Cricetulus griseus: one gene and its partner. The protein of the gene in region 1 interacts with the protein of each later gene in a biochemical or structural test. Links are inferred from orthologs where the notes say so. Each region holds a gene or a part of one and is shown in the gene's direction. Other genes may lie near its edges. The genes, in order: Daxx and ras association domain-containing protein 1.

Region 1 (3,296 bases):
GTCTCCTTGGATTCGGGTGAGGTAAGGACGGGTCAGCGCCTGTCAGAGAGATCTTGTCCTCCCCCTGCGCTGGCCCCCAGGGACTCGAGGGGGACCAATGGAGCAGTGTGTGGAAACAGTGAAAGCACCAAGTCCTTGGGGGTGGGGCCGTTTGTGGTCTTCTCACCTAGTGTTCCTGAGGTCCCCGGTTTGAGTCCTAGTCCTTACAAGAGACGCTTTTGTCCCCCAGGGTCCTAGTGGACTGGCATCCCAGGAGTGCCCTACTACCTCCAGGGCTGACACTGACGACGATGAGGAAAGTGAGGAGGAGGAGGAGGAGGAGGAGGAGGAGGAGGAGGAGGAGGAGGAGGAAGAGGTCACTGAAGATGAAGATGAGGACCTAGAACGACTGCAGCAAGATGAGGGGGGTGCCGGAGAGGAGGAGGGAGGAGGAGGAGCAGGTACACGTGTGAGCAGAGCACCCCTGCGGCCCTGCTGGCCTTCCCTCCCCCCCCTGCTCCTTTGCACAGCCCCCTCCTCCCGTTGCTTTTGCTACCCTCCCTTCTCTCTTTTGCAGACAGTGAAGGAGATAAGAGCCCCAGTAGAAGCAACTCACAAGGGGAGCAGCAAAACAAAGGACTGTCAGAGACAGCAGCGTCTCCAGACCCTCACAGCGTAGATGCTGAGAGCAGCGGGGAACAGCCCGAAGAGCCATTCCTAGAAGAAGAGAGTCCTTTGTCCCACAGTTTTCAGCTAGAGATTGAAGACAAGGATACCACCCCATGCCTTGAGGAGAAGGACATTTCCTCTTCTAGGAAACAGTCAGAAGATTCCCTCCCCACTGTCTTGGAAAACGGGGCAGATGTGGTCACCTCTACATCCTTCAATGGGCGTGTCTCTTCCCACACTTGGCAAGATTCTGGTCCCCCATGCAAGAGATCTCGGAAGGAAAAGAAGCTGCTGGATTCTGAACCATTAGAAAACAGGTAAGAGCAGGCGGATGGCAAGGAGCTGGGGCTTTCGGGTAGCAGACCTGAGGTCAGGGTCTTCTGGGAGATACTGGGCACTCTGCAGCCGCAGTTTCGGGTCCCCTTCCCGTCCATCTGTTCTCTTTGCCTTAGCAATGTAGAGAAGCAAAAGGCTCAGCAGGGAAATGGGAAGAATGTGTGGACCCCGCCTACTGGATCTTCCCCAGTGGCCGATTCCTCCACAAGGGTGGACTCTCCCAGCCATGGCCTGGTGACCAGCTCCCTCTGCAGCCCTTTTCCATCTCTGACGTCCCCAACCCCCCAGCCTCAGTCTCCCCAGCCTTGTAGTTATAAGGTAAGTTGGGCTGCTGTGTTTCCCTAACAATTCATTTCTTTATTTTTTTCCGAGACAGGGTTTCTTGGTATAGCTTTGGGTGGCTTTGGAGGCTGTCCTGGAACTTGCTTTGTGGACCAGGCTAGTCTTGAACTCACAGAGATCTCTGCCTCCCAAGTGTTGGGATTAAAGACATGTGCCACCACTGCCTGGCAACAATTCATTTCTTACTGTCCCCTCTCCATGGGGTATTGCACCTCACACATCTCTATTTATCCATCCTAGGTTTGTGTTGTGTGTGCGTGCGTGTGTGTGGTGTATGTGTGTTTAGGTTTATTTTGCACAACGTAGTAGTTTATGCCTTTAAGTCCACCACTCAGGAGGCAGAGACTGGCAGTTTTCTTTTTCTTTTCTTTTTTTTTTTTTTTTTTTTTTTTGATGGCTCCCTTTTTTTTAAAAAAAAAAAGATTTATTTGTGATGTAGTGTTCTGCCCGCATATATGCCTGCAGGCCAGAAGAGGGCACCAGATCTCATAACGGATGGTTGTGAGCCACCATATGGTTGCTGGGAATTGAACTCAGGACCTCTGGAGAGTGGGCAGTGCTCTTAAGCTCTGAGCCATCCCTCCAGCCCGAGACAGGCAGATTTCTATAAGTTCAAGGCCAACTGTCTTGTCTACACAATGAGTTCCAAGGTTACATAGTGTGAGACCCCTGCCTTAAAAAAAGAAAAGGTTTACTTATATGTGAAAAGGTGTTTCGTCTATGCATGTCTGTGTACCACATTTGTGCCTGGTGTTCAGTGGAGTCCAGAAGGGGCGCCTGGTCCTCAAGAACGGGGGTTACAGAAGGCAGCCAGCGAGCTGCGCGCCGTGTGAGTCTGGGTACCGAACCCAGGTCCTCTGCAAAGCAGCCAGTGCTCCTAGTGGCTGGCTCTTCTTCCAGACCTCCATCCTAGTTTGGTTTGTTCTTGAGATAGGGTCTTTCCATGTAGCCCTGGCTGTCCTGGCACTCTGTGGAGACCAGGCTGGCCCCAGACTCAGAGATCCGCCTGCCTCTGCCTCCTGAGTGCTGCTGCCGCCGCCGCCACCGCCGCCGGCTGGACCTGACTCCTCCCCTCTGCCTGTCCCCTTGTGACTTCTCTGCAGATGAGTGTGGCCACGCAGTGTGATCCCGAGGAGATCATTGTGCTCTCAGACTCTGATTAGCGGCCTCCTGCTCGCCCTGCCTCCACAATGTTTTGGATGGCCGCGGGCAGAAGACTGAGCAGAGGATGGACTGCGCTCCTCCCCTTTTGGTGGCGTGTCTTTTGACAACCAGATGTTTTAAGTTTTGCAAACACATTAATAAACAATGAATTTCTTTTCTTATTGTATTCTTGTGTTTACCTTGTGTCTCTGCTGTGACAGCCGCCGCCTGGTTCGGGGCTGGCCTGGGCACCTCGGGGGCGCCGTCCTCACCGCGATCCCGAGCCTCCCCCGGGCCCAGGCGAGAGCGGGCTTCCCGGGCCTCCCGGAGCCGCTTGGCTCAGCCTTGCAGCGGTTGAGTGAAAGGCCCGTGGGGGCCGGCTCCGTCCGGCTGGCTCGGCCAATCCCCAGGGAGGCGGGGCCTCGGGGTGCTGTCATTCGCCGGGGAGAGGGCGGTTAGATCCCGCGAGCCGGGGGTGGAGCCCGAGCGGCGGAAGCCGGTACCGGCCGTCAGCGGAGAGGCAGCGGGCGGGATTAAAGGGGACGCGGGCCGAGGCCCAATCAAGTCCCGCGTCCTGGGCGGCGGAGGGGGCCGGCGCCTTTAAGAGGGAGGGGCGGCCGGCCCTTTAAAGGGGAAGCGCGTGCGTCGGTCGACTCCGCGCGGCGGCACGGGCGGGGTGCCGGCCTGCGCCTTTAAGGCCGCGGGTCCGGGAGGCGGAGCGGAGGCGGCGGCGGCGGAGGGAGTCGGCACAAGATGGCGGCGGGAGGGGCCGGGCTGCGGCTCCGGCCCGCGAGTGAGGGGGGCCGGCGCGCGGGTGAGGGGGAGCG
Region 2 (3,908 bases), on another chromosome or scaffold:
GCAAGTGTGGATCACCCTGTATAACCTACTGCTCAGCCCTGAGGCCCAAGCCCGATACTGCCTTACAAGCTTTGTTAAGGGACAGCTTCTTAAGGTGAGGAGCTCAATGGCTCTACCCATCCCCCACTGCCACCACCACTACCCTGCCTCACCCCCATTGTATCCCTGCCTGTCCCTGTCCTCTTTCCACAACTTGGACTTCTTGTGACATGGGAACTGGTGAGACATAAACCTTCCAAGTACACCCAACCCAACTTGGGGACTCCCTGTCTCTTGACCCTCTGGCCAGGACTTGTTTCCCAATGGCCTTCCCCGGATGCCTTGCAGCTTCAGGCCTTCCTCACGGATACACTTCTTGACCAGCTGCCCAACCTTGCGGACCTGAAGGGTTTCCTGGCCCACCTGGCCCTGGCTGAAACCCAGCCCCCTAAGAAGGACCTGGTGTTGGAACAGGTAGGCACCTCGAAGGTTAGTTGCTCGGGACCATGATCCGCTTTGCCAGTTCCTTCCTCTCCTCTCTATTACATTCTCTTAGATCCCGGAAATCTGGAATCAGCTAGAGCGAGAGAACAAAGGCAAATGGCAGGCTATTGCCAAGCACCAGCTGCAGCATGTATTCAGCCCCTCAGAGAAGGACCTTCGCCGGCAGGCCCAGAGGTAAGGTGTGCTGCGTGGCTCAAGACGGGTGCATAGGACATAGAAGGCATGGCCATGGCGGGAGGGAGTGCGTCTGTGCCCCTACCTGTCATAGTCAGATCTTCTTGGCCCCTCCCCCAGGTGGGCTGAAACCTACAGGCTGGATGTCCTAGAGGCAATAGCTCCAGAGAGACCCCACTGTGCTTACTGCCAAGCAGAGGCCTCCAAGCGCTGCTCCAGATGCCAGAGTGTGTGGTATTGCTGCAGGTAAGGGACCCCCGAACCTTAATCCCCCTAAGTTCCAACCCTGAGTCCTCCCACAAGCACTGTCATCCTCACGCTGCCCACACCCCTGCAGGGATTGCCAAGTCAAGCACTGGGAGAAGCACGGAAAGACATGTGTTCTAGCAGCCCAAGGTGACAGAGCCAAGTGAAGGCTGCAGCTTCTGACGGCCAGAATGTGACTCTGAGACTCGGTAGTTCTGCCTGGCTCCTGTCAGACCTCAATTTCTCTGGTGGTGAGCACAGCTGAGCCAAGTAGCGCTGCAAACCACCACCACCCGACAAACACACAAGCAAAGGCTCTTCGCTTCCTGCCCCACCCCACGAATATGTAAAGAAGAGAACCAGGCCTCAGCATCAGCAAACTGGCAGACAGGGTTGGGGGACGTACGAAAGGGCCGGATGTGCAGACCCTTTTCCTTTATCACAGTAAAGGGGACACGAAACTCATCAGTGTGGAGCTTTGCAGTCGTCGTTGGGGGCTGGGGAGGGGAGCTGGGGCAAGGACTGAAGGAAAGCCTGGGAAGGGGCTCTTGGAAAGCGCCCGCCCCTGTGCCCCGCCCCGCCCACAAGTGCACACTGTGGCCTCTCCTCGGTTTCCATTGCGTTCTCCTCCTCTCTTTCCCGCCGCCCTGCCTTGATCCTGGGGGCGGTGCCGAAGTGGCGGCCCCGCCCTGCGGCCTCGCCCGCTAGCGCCCAGTCCGCTAGAGTCCCGGCCTGACCGGGCCATGTCGGCAGAGCCAGAGCTCATTGAGCTACGGGAGCTGGCACCGTCTGGGCGCATCGGCCCCGGCCGGACCCGGCTGGAGCGTGCCAACGCTCTGCGCATCGCGCCGTGCACAGCACGCAATCCCTCGCAGCAGCACGTCCCGGGGCGCGGCCACCGCTTCCAGCCTGCGGGTCCCGCCACGCACACGTGGTGCGACCTCTGTGGAGACTTCATCTGGGGCGTCGTGCGCAAGGGCCTACAGTGCGCGCGTGAGTAGCAGCCCCACACAGCCGGCGATCACGGAACGGGAGGTCAAAGGCAGGAGCACCATGGCTGCGGGTCAAGTGGCAGCGGAGGGGGTCAGCAGCGATGATCCTGCAGACCAGGTCCCGTTACCTTGCCCCATCAGGGAGCGTGTTTGAGAAAGTGGTTTATCACGGTGTCACACTTCGTCCGTGCCTGGCGCACAGGTGGGCACAGGCAGATGTCTGTAAATAACAAGGTGCTGGTTCCAAGCTCTTTAAAGCGCCAGAACCCTTGAAAAGTCTTTGTGCCTACTGTGCCCTGTGCCTATATTCCCAGGTCCTCCTCTTCCAAAGGATTGGCACTGTGTTCCCCTCCAGATTCTTGGGTGACTTCACCCACATATGACAGGGGGCCAGAAAAAGTTACCTTGGTTGGGCTCCTTGTAAGTAGGAACCTTGTTGAGTCTTTTAGTCGAGGTTTGAGTCAGTGATCCAGAGGCTAAAACATGAACACAACCACACGCATAGTGGTCCTTCTGACCTGGGGATTAGCCGCAAACGGAAGTTAGACTCACCCGGGATACTTTATACCCTCCCATCGCCTTATGTCTAGACCTCTCAGGCTTCTTGAGTCCATTATTGAAAGTGGACCTTAGGTATCGAGGGCTTTGTTGTCGTTCCCTTTTGTTGTTGTTGTTTTGAGACAGGGTCTCACTATGCAGCCCTGGCTGGCCTGCAACTCTCTATTCAGACCAGGGTGAAACAGAGGTCCACCTGCCTCTGCTTCCCAAATTCCCATGTGTAGATGGAGCTGAGAATCAGCGCTTCGAGCCATATGGGAACTTAAGGGTGGGCTGTAGGCCTGTGCATGCCTAGAGCTCATTCATTCACTACCCGAGTATGTCACAGGTTCAGCTAGTGAAGAACAGTCATTTGTGACAGAATACCACATAGAAGCCTGGGCTGTGATACTGCAACATTTTCAGATAGAAACAAAGTTGCTCTGGAGGTGAGAAACCAGACAGTTTGGATGTCTGACAAGAGGTTGGTAAGGGAATCAAGAATGTGTAGGGTTTTGCTTCAAATAACTAGATGGACAGTGGTAACTTTTGCTGAGATAGGAACCCAGGGGTGAGTGGCAGTGGAAGAAAAGTGAAATTTTGGTGATGTACGTTTGAAATCTTTATTAGGCATTAAAGTGAAGGCACTACATGTAGGATTTGTCCTAAAGAGGCAAATCAGGTCCGCCTTGGATCTGGATCAGGTGAGTGTAGACAGAGCTGGGACAGTATCCAGATGAGGAACCTGGACATCAATTATTAGACCTGGGAGTCGGAACTGATGAAGGGGCTAGCAAGGAGCTACAGAGAAGCGACAAGAAACAGCTAGTGAGTGCTGTCCCTGGGAGTCAAAGGGAGCAAGCAACACAGATTTAGGACGGAACGACCCTGCTAACGTATACAGAGGGCAAAACATTAGATGTGTGCTTTGGGGATTGGCACACATCTGTAATCTTGGCACTTGGAGCAGTTGGAGGCAGGAGGATCTCCCGACTTCAAGGTTACCATTTGAGGTTAACCTGAACTACATGAGACCCTTTCTCAGAAAACAAAATAGGCTTGTGTAAACAAGTGAAGAGGCAGATGACAAATAGAGGAAGTCGTAAATTAAACACTTTTGTTTTCAAGTTAATGGCAAAGTGAAGTAGTAGCTCTGCGGTAGATAGGCAAACACAAGTGTTGAGCAGGGTAACAGCCTGAGGCCTTCCAGGCAGTTTCCAAACGTGCTTCCAGCATCTGTGTAGCAGTGGGCGGCAACCGCGTTTGAGAAAAAGCCAGTGGAGCCCAAATCTGTCGGGCAGAGGCTCCCTCAGTCTGTGGGTCACTTGGCCAAGCTCCTCCGCCTCACCGTCAGCCCTTTCTGCAGACTGCAAGTTCACCTGCCATTACCGTTGTCGTGCGCTCGTCTGCCTGGACTGCTGCGGGCCCCGAGACCTGGGCTGGGATCCCGCACTGGAAAGGGACACGAACGTGGTG

The links.
Region 2: the proteins of Daxx (region 1) and ras association domain-containing protein 1 form a complex in vitro, tested with the Homo sapiens proteins (4 studies listed by BioGRID and IntAct, with this or other methods). The link is inferred for Cricetulus griseus from reciprocal best matches to the Homo sapiens genes DAXX and RASSF1.

Annotation. Positions count from the first base shown.
Region 1 is NW_023276806.1:232,094,977-232,098,272, reverse strand, and holds the end of Daxx (death domain-associated protein 6), read left to right. Parts: coding exon 1-21; intron 22-229; coding exon 230-440; intron 441-556; coding exon 557-965; intron 966-1,100; coding exon 1,101-1,302; intron 1,303-2,429; coding exon 2,430-2,489; downstream 2,490-3,296. UniProt on the Homo sapiens protein: Transcription corepressor known to repress transcriptional potential of several sumoylated transcription factors. Down-regulates basal and activated transcription.
Region 2 is NC_048597.1:215,732,451-215,736,358, forward strand, and holds the start of ras association domain-containing protein 1, read left to right. Parts: upstream 1-1,610; 5' UTR 1,611-1,646; coding exon 1,647-1,896; intron 1,897-3,041; exon of another isoform or gene 3,042-3,798; coding exon 3,799-3,905; intron 3,906-3,908. Other genes in the region: Zmynd10 (zinc finger MYND domain-containing protein 10), read left to right, coding at 1-94, 328-453, 536-657, 778-903, 995-1,070. UniProt on the Homo sapiens protein: Potential tumor suppressor. Required for death receptor-dependent apoptosis. Mediates activation of STK3/MST2 and STK4/MST1 during Fas-induced apoptosis by preventing their dephosphorylation.